Caenorhabditis elegans: one gene and its partners. The protein of the gene in region 3 interacts with the protein of the main gene of each other region in a pairwise test. Each region holds a gene or a part of one and is shown on either strand. Other genes may lie near its edges. The genes, in order: mab-3, zip-7, hlh-26 and dmd-8.

Region 1 (7,758 bases), 4.2 Mb from region 3:
CTCAGAAGCAACGAAAGTTTAAATTTAAAAAAAATATGTTTTCTGAAACAGGAGAAATTGGGAAATACCCTATGGTACGGTAACGGAAAAGTTTCATTCGTGCTAAGACCTTGTCTATGGGTTTCTACATGGCCGCGGAAGAGAAAGCTCGGCCGCCAACTTTTTTTCTGGAAATTGCTGTACGATCAAGTTTGCATACAGAACCAAGACGATTTAAAAATGAAAAGTTTATTGAAAAATCAAAAATAATAAAAATAAATCAATAATTATTAGACTCGATGCGTCGTGTGTTTGTATGTTTGGAAGTTCTATACATTTTTCTCTCCAAAAAATGTTTGGTTTTTTAAAACCAAAACATTAAAAAACATGATTTCACTTTTTTTCAAAATTATTACCACCGGGGGTGTCTAAAACGGACCGGTTAACTGTTTAGGATTTGATCCTATTTTCCGAGATAAAACAAAGAGAGAGGGAACGAGAATGAGAGACGCAGAGCGAGAAACAATACAGTAATCCTGGGAAAGTGTGGGCGGAGCTCAGCTCAATTTGGGCGGGGACAGTGGGAAATCGATGCAAACGGAAGAATATCGGTGAAATTTGGGAATTTTCGAAGAAATTGATGACATGATTAGGTGGCGAAGAGACATAGAAAGATAGTATGTGGTTTGGTGAGAGACGAAAAGATTATTTGAATTTAAAAAAAATGGGGATTTTTGGAATAACACAAGCGGTCTTGAAGACGAGAAAAAAATCGGTAAATTGGTTGGTTCACTTGGTGAAAAATGAATGAAAAAATTAGAAAATATAACAAAATTGGTAAAAAGTGAAAATTCAAGAAAATATGAAAAAATCATTGAGTTTGAAACCAAAGATAAAAAGAGATTGTGTGGAAAATTAAGCAAAGAAGGGAAACATACAATTTTTCTAAAAATCAATAATTGGTCAAAATTATAGATCTTAGGCTTGCAGACCATAATTTTTCAGATACATACTCCAGAACTCATTCAAAATTGCTGCCGATGAGACAGAACCTGCAGAAATGCCTGGAAGGAGTGGAGCCTGTTGTCCGATTGATGGAGCCATATTTTGAATAATGCTCATCAGGAACTGTTGTTGTTGCAAGCTTATCAATTGTTGATTCATTGGGATCGGCGGATAGATTGGAATCGGAGCAGCCAGCGTCAGAGTGTATTGAGCCAGAAGTGGAGATGGAGAGCATGGTGGAGACATTGAAAGGGATGGGGACATTGTATCAGTGGTTGAGGATGGAGATGGACTTGCTGATGTTCCTGGAATATTATAGATTTAATTTCTTTGAAGCTACAATATAAATTTTAACTGTCTGCGTTGATATTTGCATCAAAATTACCACTTTTTTGTCTTCCCCTGAATTTTGAAAATACATTGGCTTAAGTGGTAATTATCTTTAAGGCAAAGTAACTTTCAGGGCAGGGCCCGCCTGATAGGTAAGCAGAAAGACATATTCTATAACTGAGAAGTTGTACCAATTTGAGATTCTAGACATATTTGAAATTAACCTCTTAACTTTCGTAATTGTTTATTGATGCGTTTGGATATTCCCGTATTTGATTGTTTCGGTACGAAAAATTGGAAATAACAAGTAGCCATTTTATATAATCTATGAGTTGATGGTAAAATCTATGTTTCTGATAACGTTAATACGTACCGTCAACTCTAGAATTACTTCCGACTGGATTTCAGGTTTAGACTCCAATTTTTGTGATTCTGACTTAAAGCTCAATTTACACACTTCTACAAAATCCCATAGCTTACCAATTATCTTTTGACCATCTGTAGCTGTGACAACCATCATCTCCATATCCATATCTTTCGATTTTCTACGAGAGTTCCTTTTTGGTTCTTTACCATCTCGGGATTTCTGTTGTGATCTGCGTAATTTGATTTGAGCCGCCATAAGATTTCGACGGTGTTCCACAAGAGTACACTGAAAAATAATATTTTTAAACTCGAAAATCGTAGTTCTGTTTACGCGTTTTCAAAAATCTCACACAAATTAATGTGGCAACTTTCTCTGTCAGTCCAAGAGCATGCTCCAAGTTGCCTGCTCCACAACAATTTTTAAAAAGTCAATTCGTAGCACTGTTGCATTAAAAATACTTCGAAATAGTTGAAACTTATCAAAATGTTTCAAAAAGTCACATTCTCAAATCTCATTGGCAAGCCACTCCCCCATTTCCCTACAGTACTTTTATAATCCTATAATTTCTTCGCGCAGGTGACATTGAAAAGCATAAAAACTGCAATGTTGTCAAGGGCGCCTGACTGCCGATGATGACAGTATAATTACACTTACCAATGTACACTCGCATGTCACAAATTGGCACATTGTCCGCTTGTGTCCCCGCAATGGGACTAGGACTCCGTGAGCCGAGCACCGAGCACAGTGTGGGTCACGGACACGCTTCCCATCACGGGTTTGAGTTGCCGGTGTGCAGTGGATCTGGAAATTTGGAAAGGTTTATAAGGGGTCCCGCTAAAAAGTGTTTTATTTTCACAGTAATATTATAGGAGTTAATGCAATCACAAAAACAATAACCAAGAAATTCGGTATAAACTTTCAGTAGGCTCAAGAATGCTTGCAGTCAATGCAGCCTACAATTGCCTCATACCTACACGCATACCCATGGTCCAAAGTGAGCATTTTTCTCATTTAAAAATACACTTTCAACAAATAACTGAAATAAAACAATAAGGTAGGTACGCCTATAGATGGCCAGGCAATGACCTATATGTGACTTGCCACAACAAGAGCCCCTTTTGAAAAAGAACAACTTCATGAAAAATATACCTACCCTTAAAAAAATCCGATAAAATCAATCTTTTTCTCACTTTTTCTTTGCTTTTCACACTCTATCTATTCGTATCTTCAATTGTTTTTCTTACAAAAAGAGAAAAAAGCCAAGACGTCAACCCACTTTTCATTTTGAAAATGTCAGATTTGATCTGAAGTTGCGATTTTTTGGTGAACTGATAAGATGTGGTATTTAAGTGCGTGAGAACGCACATACAACCTTCAAGACCGCCTACACCGCGAAACAGAAATGTAGGCAGACAGGAATGAGGTAAGGCACAGCCACCTACAGCCACACCTACCATAGAATCCCTATAGAATACTCACCTTCTTTTTGCTTAGCAAATTGTTCAACTGTCTTCGCTGCTCGACCATCGTGCATTCTCGACATGGACATTTTAGATATCTGTAAAATGTTCGTCTTGTTTATTTTTCAGTGCCACTTGGTGTCATCGACGGGAGAATTTTGTAGTTGTACAGTAACCCGCCCACCCATTCAAATATTTTATTAGACTTTTCACAATAGAGATAGGCCCTATCTTTTGTTAAAAATTATATGAACTGAAAAAATTGGGAGAAAAAAAAAATTGGGTGAGGAATTTTACGACTGTATAGGTCATTGTGGAATGGTTTGTTTGAAAAGTGAGTGTATCTGTGTGATTGGATGTCAAAAAATGAATGAAGATTTTTGAATGAAAAGCAAACATAATTTTTTAATAATTTTCGGTTCCAAAAAAAATAATAAAAAAGGCTGAAAAATTTTTAGTTGCTTGAATTGTCTCAAACTGATCCCAAACAACCAAAATTCATGATGTAACTTCCCAAACATATCTCGAAAAAAAAGAAGCGCTTTTTTGAATTTATCTAAACATTGGAAAAAATGATCGACCGAAGAAGAAGCTGGCAGAATTTCACTAGTTTTTTTTTTAATTTTTAACCGGATAGATATTATTTTTGTAAAGCCTAATAATGAAATTCGGTCGTTTCGGGCGAGTTTTGGATATTTAAACCAGAGAAGTACAAATTCTTTAAACGAGCGTTTAAAAAAACCTAAAAAGAGTAACACACCTTGATATACATATTATTAAATGTGTAGTAGCGAAATCAGGGAATTAAAAAAATTTCACATAGGTATTCAAAAAACTCTTGTAGTCATTTTAAAATGTTTCCCAGATTTCGCTAATCCATCTTCAATTTAGCTTAGTGATAATTGTCGTCATTGCAAGATCTTTTTGAGTCATCTTTCACCTTGGTGAAACATCTACAGTATCCCTAGACCACCTTCAAAATGGTTTAGGTTAATGTATAAAACATAACTTTTTGCCTCTTTGCATTTTCCCATTCTTCTCCTCCGTTTTTCGCGTCCATATAATAATTCGTTTTTGACCCCCCTCACTCATATAATAACAATTTCACCTGTATGGGTGGTATTTTTCGCTTTAAATCGACAAGGTCAGCTGTTTTTTCTTGCTTTGCGTCTTTTCTTGCCCGATCGTAATCGGTAGACGAACATCTCAAATTTTACGGGTGTCTTTGTCGGAGGGCTTCGCGAAAAAAAAAACTGATGGTGGGTGAATAAGGTCGGTGACGCGACAATTTTGAGATAAAATTTGGAATTTGGAGTATTTATGGATAAACTACATACTTTTTCGGCACAACAAAAGTTACAAAAAGTTCATTAAACAGTTGTTAACTTTTTATCGTTGCAAGACCCAAAATTATCAAAAAATTCAAGAGTTTAAGCATTAAAACGTGATGTATATAATTAAGGGTGAATGAGGGAGAAACATGGAATGACAAAATAGTTTTCAGATGAAATGTAGTTTAAAAATGCAAAAAAAACCATTGCTCACCTACAATCCGGCTTGTGACCTTTCCTTGGCTTCAACTCCCCATGATTTAAACATCTCTGACAATAATAATTTTTTTCTTGCTCGGCGAGCTCATCGACTGCTTTCGCCTCACAAATCTCCGATACGGGATCCTCGGTGAGCATTAGAGCTCCTCTGCAAAATTTTTTCAGATTATGAATTTAGTTGTTTTTGTTGAAATTTTTATTTTTAATTAGGGAATTAAAAAGAGGGATCTATAAGCATTATATGAAACTGCTATACTCTAATCTTGACTTATAAAATAATTACGAAATTTTGAAAATGTCGTGGAAAAGTCAAATTTTCAAGACTGATTTTTGTGAGAAAGAACATTTTTTCGCCAAAAATATTGTTCTTTGCATCGGAACAAATTTTCAATTTTTTAAAGGAGCAGCTGGTAATGCGAATTTTTTTTGTAATACTGTATCTTTTCTAGTTTCCAGTGTATATCTTTCGGATTAAAAAAATTTTCAAAGTAAAGTAAAAAAATTTTCTTTTCCTATAATGTTAAGAATTTTGAGAATTTAAAACAGAAAATTTAGAGAGCTTTGAAACCAGTTTTTTTTTCTTCAAAAATTACAGATAGCTCAAACATATATAAAATACGTTTTTATAATCTAAATGTTCAATTCAACGTTGGGCTCATTCTGTGACTTTAAATGTGGAATAAAGTTGGGCTACTGTATGTTTTTAAACCTGCAATAGTTAAAAATGTTAAAAACCAGTTTGAAATTTTTTCTTATAAAGAATTTTTCAGAACGGATATACATGGAATTTCAATATTTAATGGCAACAAAGTTTTATTAATTTACAGAACCGTATTGCTTATTTGACTTGAAGGAAAAAAAGAGCAAATAAATTTCTAAATAAAATACGTTTGAAGTTTTTCAAACCTAACTGCAAACTTTATAAAATCACAAAAATCGATTAATTGCAACTGGCAACATTTGATCGTGTTACAAAAGGTTCAATTTTTAATCAATTAGAGGTTTTTATCAAGAAATAATTTTTTGTAGAGACTAAAACCAAGACAAACAGACAAGTCAGGAGCTACAGTATTTCTACAATGTACATCAGATCAAATGTTCAAGTTTTTGTTAAGCCATTTTCTCAAAAATTTCAAAGAGTAGACTGTTAGGAAAGTCAGCCACAAATTGTAGACGCAAAGATGGAAACATTTTCACATAATTTTACTGTTTTCAAAAACCCCAAAAAATTATTCTGAATCGACTGGAAGCACCTACCCAAAAGTACAATTTCCTCCAACAAGGGGTCAAGATCGAGCTCCTAGAGCACCGATAGCATTCAAATATCGAAAAGAAAAGGAAAAGAGGGAGTAATAGGCACTCCCCTCCTGTGAAACGGGGCGGGTCCCAGCAAGAAAGAGTCGCGGCGACGAAGCGCCGCCTCTTTTTTGGCGACTGATGCCACCCGCGATTGGATAGAAGACCTCACACGACGATAATTAGAGAACGCCGAACGTGAGAAAACCTGGTAAGAGACGCCAGACAAACATATATCGGGAGGGAGCGGCGCCCCGAGACTATGGCGGTGGAGGGGGACACCGCTATCAGTTCTCGCGACGACATATTTTTTCTCTGGCTGACACTCCGCGAATCGTGTGATCTCTGCGTTTTTTGGGGACACCTGTAAGTACGTGTGATCATGGAAAGAGAAGAGACGAGAGAAAATTGCAAACTTTTAGTTTTTTATTTTATTTCCTGTAACTCAATTTTTATAGGTTTTGTTCGAACTTTTATTATCATTCGTTGGGTAGGCTTTTCTAGACTTTTCTGTATTTTAGAAAACTATTAAACATTCCTGGAATGTGACCTACCTTGCTTTAAAGGAAATTGAAACTATGTCTAGAATTATGGATCCACAAGTTGGAACCTTGGAGCCTATATAGAAAGCTTAATTATATTTTTTTTTCGAGGAAAAATACAATTCTTGAGCTTTTTTTCAGTCCATAGGGCCAAGATCCCGGCACCGGGCTGTAGAAAAAATTAGGACTGGAAATTCATAACTGCTCCCATGTGACCTAATTAATATTCATAAGCTAAGTACTTTCTTTCAGCTTTTACTAGCTTTTTTCATTTCTTCATTTGAATCTTAACCCCCCAACCCAACCACAATTTTTTTTCTGAACACCCGCGTCACCAGTTTCAGATTGATTACATATCTAAGCCTACAGTAATCCAATATTTCTCAATTTCGCCTAATGAGCACCTTCAGGTCTTGTGTTCAGTTAGCAGAGAGAGAATGAAAATTGGCAGTTTCAACGCACACATTTGATCTCGACTGTGTCCTCGAAATGGAAAGGAGAAGAAGCGGTAGAAACAAAGTGGGATTGACAAGAAAATTACAGAGGAAACATTTTTGGTAAAGGTTGATTTGGACCTGAAAATATATTAGGAATGTTTTCGAGAGAAGCTACCAAAAACTTTGAAAAGTAATAGTTTTGTTGAAAACTGTCTTACCAACTGTCAAAGTTCTAGTGACTCACTATTTAGTCAAACCGTTTTTCAATTACCAAGATTTGAAGTTTCAGTCAAAAATTATTGACCTGCAATGGATAACAATTTTCAATATGACTTTTAAAGTTTCAGTAATTTAAATTTCTCAAATTTTCCCGAACCAAAGATATTTCCAGTTCCACTTTATAAATGTCGTTAAAAAATTTTAGGTTTGAGAACCAACTTTCTAAAGGAATTGCTGATAAATTTTGACTAAATTCTTGTTTTCAAATGTTGCCGAATGGACTGTATTTACTCTGAACATTCTCTGTACTCCAAAGAGATCACCACATCGAGTCTAGACAGTCTCAACTCGCTCACTACCCGCCCCGCTGATTGTTTCGCTCGTAGGAAAAAAACGGCTGAAGTGTGAGAGTGAACGAACATTCCGTCGTGTTTATCTTGTTGAAATAGTGCAGGTTTCTGTGAGATCTAGACCACCCATCTTTTAAATACTGGTGGTCGATCGAAGCGAAATAAGAGAACGATTTGTTGCGTAAGTGGAGCCTATTTCGAGGGTTTGCTCTTTTCGATTAAA
Region 2 (5,248 bases), on a different chromosome or scaffold from region 3:
CCTGCTGAAAAATGCATTCTAAGCGCTGAAAAATCGGCGGAATTATGCAATTTTAGTGATTTTTAGATGTTTAGACCCGAAAAAATCATGAAAAAGCTATAGAAAAAATGAAAAAATGCAGAAAATCAGAGAAAACGAGCGAAAAATAATTTGAAAATGAGTTTTTCTGTGCAATTTGCCGTGACGGTGTTTGCACACGACGAAATCTACCGTACCCCCCGGGAAAATATTCAAAACTGGTTTTTCTTGGAATTTCGAGTTTTTTCGACTTTTTCCAGCATTTTGAACGAGTTTTTTGGGAAATTTAACGAGAAATTACTGAAAACGTTATATATTCCGTCGAAAAAGTAGTAAAAATCACTCAGGTGATGCTTTGCCGGGAAAATAATGGAAAAATCATTTTTCCGTCCAATTTTAGGGTACAATTAGCTGAAAAATTGAATTTCAGCATTAATTCTGGTCAAAAGCGGGAGGAAAATCCACGAATACCTCGGAAAATGAGCAAAATTCAGAAATTTCCGGGAAAAAGTCGAGTAAGCTGAAAAACTGTTTTATTATTAGAGAATTTGGATTTTAAAGTTGCTTTAGCTCGAAAATCAGCGAATTTAGCTTGAAAAACATGCCCAGAAAATGCCCAGAAAATCGGAGGAAAATGGGGAAAAATCTGAATACACCTATTTTCTGAGATTTTTCTCATTTTTTCGTGCGGAAAGTGTCAAATTACAGTCGGTACAGCTTCGAAGAGTGAAAAATCGACAAAATACAATCAAAAACTAACAAAAATTAAAGAAAAAACGCGAAAATTCGGAGAAATTAGCGAAAACTGAGCGAAAAATAATTTGAAAATGAGTTTTTCTGTGCATTCTGCCGTGACGGTGTTTGCAGACTCGGAATTGCTTACCGTAGTCGCTCATTTATTTTTTTTGAAAAAATGCATTTTTCTTCAAAAATAGCTATATTTTTACAGAAAATTACAAAAAAAAAGTGACGCAATGAGAGGGTGGTGTGTGGAAATTCGATACAGAAGCAAGGATTTGAATGTGTGTGCAAGAATGAGATGATTTTGTGTGGGAGGGGAGAAGCTTAATAACTCGGCATATTCGCCATGGCAATCGGGTCCATAGTGTCTATAGTGCCCGGATTTTGCAGGAGCAAATGTTGTCTCATCGATTCGTTTTGTAGTTGGAGCTGTTGGACGTAGACTCGCAAGCATTGATTTTCCTGGAGAAAAAATAATTATTAATTGATTGATAAAAATTTTATGCCGTCAGAACTAAGCCTTTTATCAGAGTTACTCTTTATTTTTAGTCCGAAAAAAAAGTAAAGTTAAACTTTAACGAAACAAAAAAGAAAAGCCACTCCCTGGAATTGATCCAACGAGTGCTCACACCGAACTGCGTCCACTACCTACTGCTCCAAACCAACAAATCTTTCCAACACCATTCTTGGTGAACATATCGAAAAGTGGAACACCATTAAGGGAACAAACGTTACTGTACGTGTGCACTAGAGCGCGTTTGCAAAACTATCAAAAAGTACTTTTAAAAGTGTCGGTTATCTACAAAAAGCCATCTGATATTCCCGAAATTTATTGAAAAATTGGGAAAAGTCGGCGTGGGCGCGTTCTCAAAGTTATTGCGTAGCCAGGCTGACACCTGTTGACTGATGACGTCATCAATTAAGCCCTTTTTTGGAAAAAAAAACCCGCCAAAAAAAATGATGCAAAGGATTATTATCTATGGGAAATTTTGAAAACGTACCCTCTCCAAATATGTTACACGAACACTATTGTCCTGATCGACTTTCTTGCGAGATTCTCTGGATTTACGGGCGGCTTCGTTGTTTCGGCGGCGCCGGTCGAGATAGGCCTGGAAAATTGGATTTATTCGAGAGGATTTTGGACTATTAGCTGTCGATTTACGGAGCTCGTGTACTCCTCGTGGAAGAGTTTACACTGGTTTTTTGAAGAAAAAAAAACGGCTGAAAAGCTTGATTTTGGCCAATTTTCACTGATTTTTGTTGGATTTTGATGGTAAATTGTCATTTTATGACATAATTTATAGTTTTTAACTCAAAAATTGCCGATTCAAACGTTAAATACAAGAAAAATCAGCAAAATTGGCATAAAAATACTTTTTTCAAACGAAAACCCAGAGAAATCAACTCCACGAGGAGTACACGGCCTCCGTAAATCGACACGTGGCTAGCTATTAATTCATACGACTTTTTAAATTCATACGACTTTTTAATTCATACGCCTTTTTAAGAAAAATACGGCTAAAAAACTTTATTTTGGATCTTTTTTGCTGATTTTTTTTGTATTTTACATTAAAATTGTCAACTTATCTCGATTTAAATGCAAAATACGAGAAAAATCAGCAAAATTGGTCCAAAATAACGTTTTTTCACTGAAAAATCAGAAAAAAACTCTATTTTCAGTTTAAAAAAATCAATTTTTCAACTTCGTGGCAGTGAAATTAGAGAAAAAACTCGGCCACCACTTTGAAAACCAGCGGAAATTAAAAAAAACAGTTCAATTTTCATAGCAGAACACGGTTTTCTGGCCTCATAAATTGAAATGGAAGAGTTTGCAGAACTAGGCCATTTTGGCTCGGCCATATCTGGGATAGATTTACGTCGCATTGCGTGTCGCGTCGCGGCTCGGATTTGTCCGTGTGGAGTACACGACACTCTCCCACTCGTTGTCCGGCGGGCGATTGTCAATGGAGCGCGAAACATTCAATGAGGAAAACCAGAACCCTGTGGCAGAAGGAATCCAGGAAACCTCGGCCGCCATTTTTTCTCGGCCACATCTAACACTAGCAGATCGGCCGTTTTTTTCTGGTGGCCGAGTTTTCTCATTTCTCGGCCATTTAATCTCTTACCTCATCCTTTTGATTTTCCGGCACCGGAACCGGTTTTTTCTTCTTACTCCCACTGCTGCCACTCTGCTGATTTTGAGACGACGTGGTGGATGACGTGGAAGACGATGACGGGGAAAAAGATGACGTGGCATGGGGATTCGCGTATGGCGCGAAATGTTGAGCAAAAAATGGGAGAGCAGTGGCTGCGGAGTAGTTCTAAGAAAAAAATTTAATTTTTTGTTAAAAAGCATTTTTGAAACAGTAAAAAAATTTTTTTACTTTTTCAAATTTCAGAAAAATTCCAAAAAAAATTACAAACCTTATCAAAAGCTCCTGCTCCATACGGATTCTGTGCGTACATCTGATTGAATGCCTTTATAGAATCCGAATCACACATTCTCGAGGCAGCCAGCTGCTGTTGAATGTCTGTCATCATCTGGAAATAATCTGGAAATTGGTGGAGAATTGGTGGAAAATGGCTAGAAATTTAGGAAAAAGCTTCCAAAGAACACAGTAATAAGTTGAAAAAAATTATAATAAAACAAATTTTTTTGAAACAGAATTTTTTTTAAATTTTCAAAACCAAAACCGTATTACTCAACAGTTACCAAACTATTACACCGGAACTTATGAGCTACCGCATGCTGAGAAAAAGTCTGCACGCAAACAGGACACCTCTACAGGCCCTACTAGACCCGCCTCCTCCCCCATTTGCCCACGGGGTCTCTAAAGACGGGCGGCTCTTTTTATGATGATTTGAACTGTAATGGCGCAATCGTTGCGTCGTTGTTCTCTAACTAACTAACTACCGTCTGCTGTTAGTTGAATAATGTACCGCAAAAGAGATTGGTGGTGGTCCTAAATGTATAACGAGGTGGCAATAGGTGGGCATGTCTTGGAGTTCCGTGGGGAAAACTGGGCATAACTTGAAAAGTGTAAGAGCTAATAAAAAGTTGTCAACCAACAAAATGTTTAAAATCAATTTTGCAATATTTTCATAGTTAAAATCTTTTTGATAACTTCAATAGCTAAGGAGATATAAGCCTTCAAACTTAAAAATCGGTAATTTTAGTTGGAGTTTTGCGCGAAAAACTACCATAACTGAAAAAGTATCGGAGCTAGTGAAAAGTTGCCAACTAAAAAAATGTTCAACATAAATTTATAAATATTTTCCCAGTTGACAACTTTTTGATAGCTACAATGGCTGAGGAGATACTACTTCTTCTGTAAAAAACGCTCGTACTTCAACTTGCTAACAATTTTCCCTTGTAAATTCCACTTGTTAAATGCTTCACATGAAACAGGCACCAATTCAAAAATTCAAAAATTAACACAAAAATCCCAATAAAACTGGTTTATTCAAGTGAAAAATGAGAATCCTGAAAATTATTGTGGCACGGCGAGCTCCTCGTAGTTGCCTTCCTGAAATCAGAATTGTTTCTTTAAAAGTAGGACCTTCCTCATTGCATTATTCGCGCTCTATTGACAATCGCCTGCCGGACAACGCGTGGGAAAGTGTCGTGTACTTCACACGGACAAATCCGAGCCGCGACGCGACACGCAACGCCCCGTAAATCTACTGAGCCAAAATGGCCTAGTTCGGCAAAACTCTTACATTTCAGAATAGGAGGGAAGGCAGAAACCTGTGGTACGTATCCCAAATCAGCAAAATTAATTAAACAATGCGTTGCGGTCGCGTTGCGGTCGCGTCGCGGTCACACAACTCACAGTTTCATCCTTCTTCTCCTTTGGAGCCCCTAACTTTGATTTATTTGTTCCTTCCGGAGAATTTGCTGACTTCTTCTTCTTTCCGCCACAATTCATCACCAGAGATCCGAAAATCACAAGAATTGGAAGCACGAGCTGTAAATTTCGGAGCATTTTTTGCAGGCAGGCAGGCAGGCAGGCTTAAACTGACTTGTGCAATCATTTGGCTTCTTCTTCGTTTCAGTGGAATGGAATTTTTAAACAAAATTCGAAACTGATTTTTTCGATTATTGATTTTTAGTTGGCGACTTTGAAAAAAAAACACGTTTTTTTTGAAAATTATTTCCCAGTTTCACGAAAAAATTAAAATTATTTTCAACATTTTTTTCCATTCAATACGTTTTCACGCGTTTCCCCCGATAATATTCAAATTTCCGTATGTCAGAATAGCGGTAAATTCAAAGAAATTACGCAAGTTTTTGGGGTATGTGTACTTGAACATACGCACACACAGATTATTGCGTTACCACATTAGGACCACGGGGGTATAATGAGTTGGGGGGTGTTGGCCTTGTGGCCGTGGAGGTGAAAAACCTCGGCCACTACCAACTTCTAATACGTCTATCTTGGTTCCGGATAAATTTGGAAAAAGTTGTCAACTGCGAATTTGTGGAAAA
Region 3 (3,336 bases):
ATTTTCAATTCAAAGAAATTGAACACGTGTTCCAAGTGTTTATTTTTAATAGTTGTGCTGACATTTTTTGAATTTTCTTTCACAGTTTCTTTATTTTTCAGGGTTCGTAAACCAAGTTGCCGGTTGCCGAACTTTTTTCGGCACTTTGGCAACTGTCCATATCAACGTCAAACATTTTGTAACTCAAAAAAAAACATGCAGAGAGCCTGAAAAAGCTAGAATTTCACTGTAAACGAAAAAAACGACCATACATTTTTCCAAAACGCTCAAAAATTTAATTTCGACAAAAAAAACTTTGAAACCTGGTTGCCGAAAAGTTTCCGAAGTTCCGGCAACCGGAAGTTGCTGGCTGCCGAAGTTTTCAGCGTTCGGCAACTTTGGCAATTGCCGGTTGCCGAAATTTCTTTAAATCTCGGTTGCCGCACAGTCCTGGTAAGAACGCAATTCAGTTCTATAATTTTTCTCCAATTGCTACGCATCTGTTCAAATTATCATGCACACTGTGCTGAAAATCTCAATATTGCTGTGTGTTAAACTTGAATTTATTATCTTGATGTTACTTTTTTAAATTTATTAATTTTCAATGAATCGGGATGCAAAAGATGTCTAAATAATGTTGAAAACTGTTGAAAAAAATTGGAGACCAATACGATTTTCAGCTGAATCTCTTCAGCCAACAATATCGATATCTTTCTCATTTTCTTCTATTTCCAGAGCGTCAATTTCGAAGCTGGAACTTGGGACAATAGGAATCTGAACTGTAGGCATGTGAGGAGGATAAAGTGAAAATTGATTGTATGAATTGAAAACTAATGGCGAATAAACTGGGAATACTGGGAGAAAAGGAAGTATTGGAAATGGTAGGCAAGGTACTGTACATGTGATCGACTTTCCACGAATCACTTCAAAGATGATTTCTAGAACCTTCAAATTCTCCATTTTGTCTCTGAAAAATACGTGTTTTTTAATTTATGGCCAATAAAATCTAAAACCTACATTTCTTCTGAGCTACTCAAATTATTCAATGCAATAAATTTTCTGAGCTCTCTGTACGCGGCAACTCTCTTATTTCGGCGAACTTGTTCCCGATCGCTTTTAATCTTTTTAATACTTCTAATTGGTCCAGGCGATGTTGAAAACGATTCGTGATGAAGTTGAATACCAGATAACAATTTCACAATACGAAATAGAACCTCTTCTTTTCTGAATAGACATTAGTTGAGAGTACGTTTTTTTTTTTTAAATAAAATAGTAGAAAACTTACGAAAGTTTTTCAGATTCCGATTTTTGAACGATTTTCTTGAATTCATTCAACAGATCATTAGTATCATCTCTTCTTTGTTTTTCTGTTTCAGATCGATGTCCATGTGAAGAAGGGGACCCAGATGATGACGAAGTTGGAGAGGAAGACATTATGAGTCAAGGATCTGAAATATAATAATAATAGTTAACAAAAGATTATTAGACAAAAACCGTAATAGGGAGACTACAAAATATGAAAGGCAGTTCAAATTAAAGACTTATGAAAACGTTGAAAAGAACCAACCTTACAGTTCAAGTATGCAAAAACATAATGACTACCTTCCATTATATGTTCGAGTTTTTTCTTCAATAGGCGGGGATTCTCATCGTTTGGAATATCATGGGAATCTGATATCCATACCTTTATTACGCGTGGTTCTCATGGTGCATCGAGTACCACATCTCCAGTTCTTGCCGTGGCAGCCTGAGAACCCAAGCAATGCGAAGGGTCACAACCTGAACGAAGTTATTGATTGGTGGGAAAAAATAATCCTGAAATGAATATTTGGTAAAATCGGAGCTCGATGGAATTTAAAAATGTAAATATATAATACAAAAGAAGAATTTAGAATATTTAAAATAAAAATGCATATTAATTAACTCAAATAATCAAATACATGAATTAGGTTATAGTATTTTTCCTTTACATGATAGTTTAAAATATTTATATCAAGCTGTTCTAGAAATGTTTTAAAAAACAATATCCAAGTTTAAAAAAATCTCAATTTATTTTTAATTTACGAGGTTTCCATCTCAGCGTGTGACACTTTTCTTATAACTTGGCACCTACATGTATCCGGTGTGAATTTTTTCTGTTGCTGTGTGAGCATTTCCAGCAAACCGGAGTTCTCAAAATCAGTAAGGTTATATGTTAAAATTAAACTGGCTTATTATTTTCAGAAAATGAAAAACTGCCATATTTGAGTGATAAACTGAATGAATCCGTAAAATTTGGTAGTTGTATGTTCTATGCATTATCATATACATCAATCTGGTAATTTTTATTAGAATCAGATCTTGAATATTGGAAACTTTGCGAATTAAAGACAAATAATGATTAGGCAAGCTGATTAAATGAGTGATAAAAATGGTTAATGTCAATTCACAGTCTCCGCCGAAATTTCCCAGGCTGTACCCAATCAATATCCAGTCGTGGCAAAACTGGAGATGTCCTGACTCGTTCTCATGAGAACCTCACTGATGAACCATGGGAACCCGTGATGGGGACTGTAAAAATAGAGATTTCAGAATAATTCCCATGGCTCCAAACGCTTGATACAAAGCTCCACCCTCTGAACAATAATGGAACTATAAAAGGTAACCATTTATTCATTGTTCATTTACTTTCTTAGTGGATCACTGGTCTGCTGGTTTAGTATACTTTTTGATAATTGTAACATCAGGAAAGTGTACTGATTTTGATCAATTACTTTTAAAGCATTCAGTGAACTGTATACTTCTAGAAAAACAGTACGAGTTATCTCACTAAACTAAATCAATTTGTGCTGCTTTCTTGGTCCCATTTATCTGTTTTGTCACAATTATTCCTTTTTAACGGCTCATCTTGAATTTTTATAAATTCTACATTTCTTATTGATTTTAAATTAATGAAAATTATTAAATTTCAGATGCCAAAAGTTATTCAGTCTTCAATGAGCGATTATCGTTCCGTCCCATACAATCAAACTCCAAAATCAGCTTCTGAACGGAAAAGAAGAAATATTACAAACGAGTTGATTAACGAATGCAAGACGATTGTTCAAAAATCAGAAGAAGAACATATATCGTAAGTTTAAATACTCTGTTAGCTTAAAATAGTTATTAAACTAATTCATTTTTTAGACAAGAAGTAGTTCTCTTCCGAATTGTGAAACTTGTGACTGGAGTTAATCTGGAATCTAATTTCTCATCGAATGACCTCTCCGAATCTACAAGACGGAAGTTTGATACTGAATCCGAAAGAAGAAAAGTGAAGACTGAACGTGAAAAGATTCGAAGAAAGAAACAAGATGACTGTTATGCTGAATTGAAATT
Region 4 (4,158 bases), on a different chromosome or scaffold from region 3:
TTAAAGATTTATTTTAAATTTTTCAAAAATTGAAAAAAATCTGATTGTGAGATTTCACTGGTAAATGAATTTTTCGGCCATTTTTTTCAAATTTTCAACCATTGTCATTAAAGGAAACTTGACAGGCCGAAAGGAATTGGGTGAAACTCTAAAACTGGCCTGAACTTAACATTAATTTTTTTGCTGTAAAATGCATGCAAATTTGACAGATCACGTCTCAAATAAAAAATCAAAAAAAGTGAAACTGCTCAATTTAGCCGGAAAGCTTATTTTTGGAATAGCAAAATTTGAAAAAAAATTACAAAAAATTCTACAAAATATATATTTGAATTTTAACATTTAGTTTTTTTTTAATATATGGGATTGCTTCCTGACGTTTTATGCAAAAAAGGCCGTGAAATTTCTAAATCCAAGCTTAATTCCAGATATGGTGGCTGAAAATTCGGAAAATTCTCTGTAAAAACCGTGACTTTATAATTCAATTTCTAGTCGAGTCATAAATTGATAAGAGTACAATTTTATTAATTTATCACTTTTGCAGAATCAAAAAAAAGTTTTTGGAAATATAAAACACAAAAACATCAAAATATTATTATCATCATGTTTGAACTGAAAACCCGCACAGCTTAAAATTTCGATGGGGTTTTTACTCTTTTTGAGGTGCAACTGGGAAGGAACTAGAGTTTTACAGGGAAAAGACAATAAATCACAGATTGGAAATTGTTTTTTTTTTTGAAAAATTAAAAAGAAAAATCAATCGGTTTCAGCGCAGCTAATTGCAGCGCTAAGCTCACGGATATTCTGAAAATTTTGAAAGTTCTGGAACAACATTTGCATTCCGATAGGGGTCATCAGGAGAGGATTCGGGAAAAGAGTTGGAGCAGCTCCGTACATAAGCGGAGCCGTGAAAAATGGTGAGGCCGCGGTGGACATGAGAGAGGGTACGGTAAGAAATGAAAGCGGTAGGCTTGATGGAGCAAGTTGTGGAAGAGCAATTGGTGAATGCGGAAGGAGAAGCGGCATTGGAGATGTTGTCTGAAAAAAATTTAATTTAGAAATTTTAGAAATTCTGGAAAAAACCTTTTAGAGCAGTTTTTAGGACGAGACTAGTGCATGCCTACATGCCTACATACCTACATGCCTACATGCCTACATGCCTACATGCCTACATGCCTACATGCCTACATGCCTACATGCCTACAGGTTTACATACATACATGCCTACATGCCTACATGCCTACATGCCCACATGCCTTTTCAGGTTCAAGCTGTACCTGAAAAAATTTTCAGAAAATCTGAACCTCACCTCAAATGGAGAACCAGCCGGACTAGTGCTTGCATTTGCCGAAGTCGCTGCAGGAATCATAAATCCCCCGGCACTGAAGTCGAATTTCATCTGAACCTGCGGAGCCATGTTCAACTTCTCTGATAGCATTCCAGATAGCGAGCAATCCGAGGATGAAGCCGACTCGTCCGAATTGCAGCCCGAAGAAGATGAGAGTGACGATGATGAAGCCGTGGTGGAGCCCTCTTTTTTGGGACTTTTCGGTGCGATAGCTTCAACCGTGTTGCCCTTTATGCTCATTTTTCGCTTCTTAATATGCCGGTCCAGGGCACGACGGGAATCAATCAAGTTACACTGTTGGCATTCGCAGCTGGAATATTGGCACTCCTTTTTGTGATTTTTCTTCCAGACGAGCACATTGTGATTCTTGCATTTTTGGCAGAAATAGCACATGTTCATGTTCTCCATGACAGCTTTTTCATCTGCCTCCCCACCTGTGAAGCCTGGGAACACGTTGGCCTCGCTGATATCATTGGTACGCTGAAACACGGGGATAGTTAGGAAAATTAGGAAAAAAATCACAAGGTACCTGGAACTTCTTGTCTTGCTCTCGTCGGAGACGAATCTGAGTTGACATGATCTCCCGTCGCTTACGGACCAAGTCACACTGCTCACACTCGCAACTTCTATATTCGCAGGTGTGCCCGCGCGTCTCTACGAAAACTCCATGCTGCTTGCACATTCCACAGTGCCGTTTCACATCTGAAAATTTAACAAAAAATAAAACTATGTTAGGCGTAGGCCATACTAATTTCTGAAAAAAAATCAGCAGCCGACAGTTAACCAACCATACATTTTTCTACTGACCCTTTCTCGTGAAACCAATTAACTGTCGGCTGCTAAGAAGCTATAGCTCACCTTTCGGGATCCTTTTCCCTTGGCTGAAAAATCTCTGTGCTCCAACATCCGGGGAGAGGCTGTTGTTTGGTGAAAGCCCTTCTGGAGCACTGAGCGATGAGGCATTTGAAGAAGATGACAGGGAAGATGAGGACATGATCAGGTAAGTCTGAAATTTTCCATTTTTCAAGAGTTGGAAAAGTTGAAGCACAAAATGAAATTGTGAGGGCTACAAGATAAGGGATGCTTGAGCTTGATGACCTGATTGGCTGAAATTTTATAGACACTGCGTCAATGGAATATTTACAGTACTTTCAGTCACTTGTCTGAAAAAAAATCTTGTGACATGTTTTACTAGTCGCCTGATAAGGCCCTGGGGGCTATATAGACGATGCTTTCAGAGAAATTTTCAGGGAAAGCATAAGCAAAACAGGAAGTTGTAGAGGCTTGGGCGCGTGACCGAAGTTTTTCTAGTTTTCTTCGGCCACCAAAAATTTCCCTTATCTACAGTAACCTAGCTCCCCTTGGAGCAAAAAAGCTATCGAAATGAATTCACAAATGAAATGGAATCGAAATAAATAAATAAAATTTCATCCGCCTTTCCCATCTTCAATCCAGGAATGAAAGATTTTCTGTATCTGCCGGCTCCGCCTCTTTCTTGAATATCCCTGATTGCTGTCTAACCATGTCTAACGTCTCCGCCATCCCTCCCCACTCATTCGAGAAAATTCGCCGTAAACATTCTATTTTGGCTCTGCGGAGCTATGACGGAATTCTCATGTCGATGGGGGAAATTACGTAGATTCGCAGTTTGCGTAGATAAGGAGGGGCAATCCGGTCGGGGTTTTACGCGGATCAGTATGGAGCAACTGAGCAGTTGGACTAAAAGCCGATTTATTTCATTTTGTTCACAAAAAGGTGGTGCTCATCTCGTTTTGAAAACACTCGAATTTTTTAAAACTTGAAAAACTTGCTGGCCGACGCCTATGACATATGCCTATGACCTCCACCTATGGCCAACGCCTATGGCCTACGCCTACTGCCTACGCCTATGACCCACGCCTACTGCCTACGCCTATGACCTACACTTATGGCTAATGGCCTACGCCTATGGTCTACGCCTACGAAACCTTGGAAAATTCAAAGTTGAGCAAGCTGAAAATCATTGCAAAATGTTTCATAACAACCACAAAAAAACACTAAAACTAAAAAGATTTTCAGAAGTTTCAACAAATCGGATGACAAATTGTGTCGAAAATCAATCGCTCAGAGTGGTTTCAAATTTTGTGTGGAAAATATAAGAAAATCTGTAGCGGATTTTGACGATTGCTAATCTTTTTCTCGCATTGCTTAGCCCTTGTGTTTGAATTATTAGGCGATTTAAATCCATTTCTGTGATTGCCTTTATCATGCTTTTTTTGTTTTGAATGATTTTTTTTCTTTTTCTAAATAATGGAATAATTTTTTAAAATGTTTTTTCTAAACAATGAAATTCGATCTAAATTTGAAAAGGAGCCTGGCAAGCAAGCCCGAAAGCCTCGTTCACCGACTCCAATGCACCAAATTTTACACGCAAGGTTAAAAAAAAATTCTGTACCGTCCTCGATCACTGTCGGCTGCACAAAAAAAACATTTTTTCCAGTAAAAAAAATGTTTAAAAAAACTATACTAAAACATGTAGGAACTAGTTGTTTTATACTAGTTTATGCTCATTTGGGAAATGCTCATTTCTGATCGACAAGTTTTGTTTTTTTGCCACCGTCTAGACGCTCTACCGTAATCTTTGAAGAATTCTTGCTCCCACCGGGGAAATCTATATTTTGTCACGTGGAATAGGGGTAATAGGAAAACATAGAATGCAACAAGATTTCTTGGAGGTAGGTAGAAAGCCTGAAAAAAATCAACCCATAAGAAAAATTCTTGGAAAAAATTAATGAAGTTACATTTTTTTATTTTCCAAAAAAAACCTGCACTCC

The links.
Region 1: the proteins of hlh-26 (region 3) and mab-3 interact in a two-hybrid assay, tested with the Caenorhabditis elegans proteins (one large-scale study listed by BioGRID).
Region 2: the proteins of hlh-26 (region 3) and zip-7 interact in a two-hybrid assay, tested with the Caenorhabditis elegans proteins (one large-scale study listed by BioGRID).
Region 4: the proteins of hlh-26 (region 3) and dmd-8 interact in a two-hybrid assay, tested with the Caenorhabditis elegans proteins (one large-scale study listed by BioGRID).

What each region holds. Positions count from the first base shown.
Region 1 is NC_003280.10:9,730,493-9,738,250, reverse strand, and holds mab-3 (Protein male abnormal 3), read right to left. Parts: upstream 6,021-7,758; 5' UTR 5,949-6,020; intron 4,840-5,948; 5' UTR 4,830-4,839; coding exon 4,687-4,829; intron 3,241-4,686; exon of another isoform or gene 3,240-3,240; coding exon 3,161-3,239; intron 2,483-3,160; coding exon 2,336-2,482; intron 1,967-2,335; coding exon 1,795-1,966; intron 1,290-1,794; coding exon 958-1,289; 3' UTR 216-957; downstream 1-215. UniProt on the Caenorhabditis elegans protein: Transcription factor which binds the DNA motif 5'-[CGA][TCA][TA]ACAATGT[AT][TGA]C-3', probably as a monomer.
Region 2 is NC_003282.8:16,502,370-16,507,617, forward strand, and holds zip-7 (BZIP domain-containing protein), read right to left. Parts: upstream 3,314-5,248; 5' UTR 3,301-3,313; coding exon 3,184-3,300; intron 3,081-3,183; coding exon 2,886-3,080; intron 1,869-2,885; coding exon 1,761-1,868; intron 1,222-1,760; coding exon 1,084-1,221; 3' UTR 541-1,083; downstream 1-540. Other genes in the region: Y51H4A.935 (uncharacterized protein), read right to left, coding at 4,251-4,286, 4,593-4,727, 4,783-4,794.
Region 3 is NC_003280.10:5,532,310-5,535,645, forward strand, and holds hlh-26 (Helix-loop-helix protein 26), read right to left. Parts: upstream 1,434-3,336; 5' UTR 1,414-1,433; coding exon 1,265-1,413; intron 1,204-1,264; coding exon 997-1,203; intron 947-996; coding exon 670-946; 3' UTR 530-669; downstream 1-529. Other genes in the region: hlh-25 (Helix-loop-helix protein 25), read left to right, coding at 2,931-3,088, 3,145-3,336. UniProt on the Caenorhabditis elegans protein: As a homodimer binds DNA via the E-box sequence 5'-CACGTG-3'. Represses lag-2 transcription during embryogenesis via Notch signaling, in an unc-37-dependent manner. Also represses tbx-37 independent of Notch signaling.
Region 4 is NC_003283.11:334,100-338,257, forward strand, and holds dmd-8 (DM domain-containing protein), read right to left. Parts: upstream 2,352-4,158; 5' UTR 2,340-2,351; coding exon 2,204-2,339; intron 2,048-2,203; coding exon 1,875-2,047; intron 1,826-1,874; coding exon 1,307-1,825; intron 1,036-1,306; coding exon 754-1,035; 3' UTR 502-753; downstream 1-501.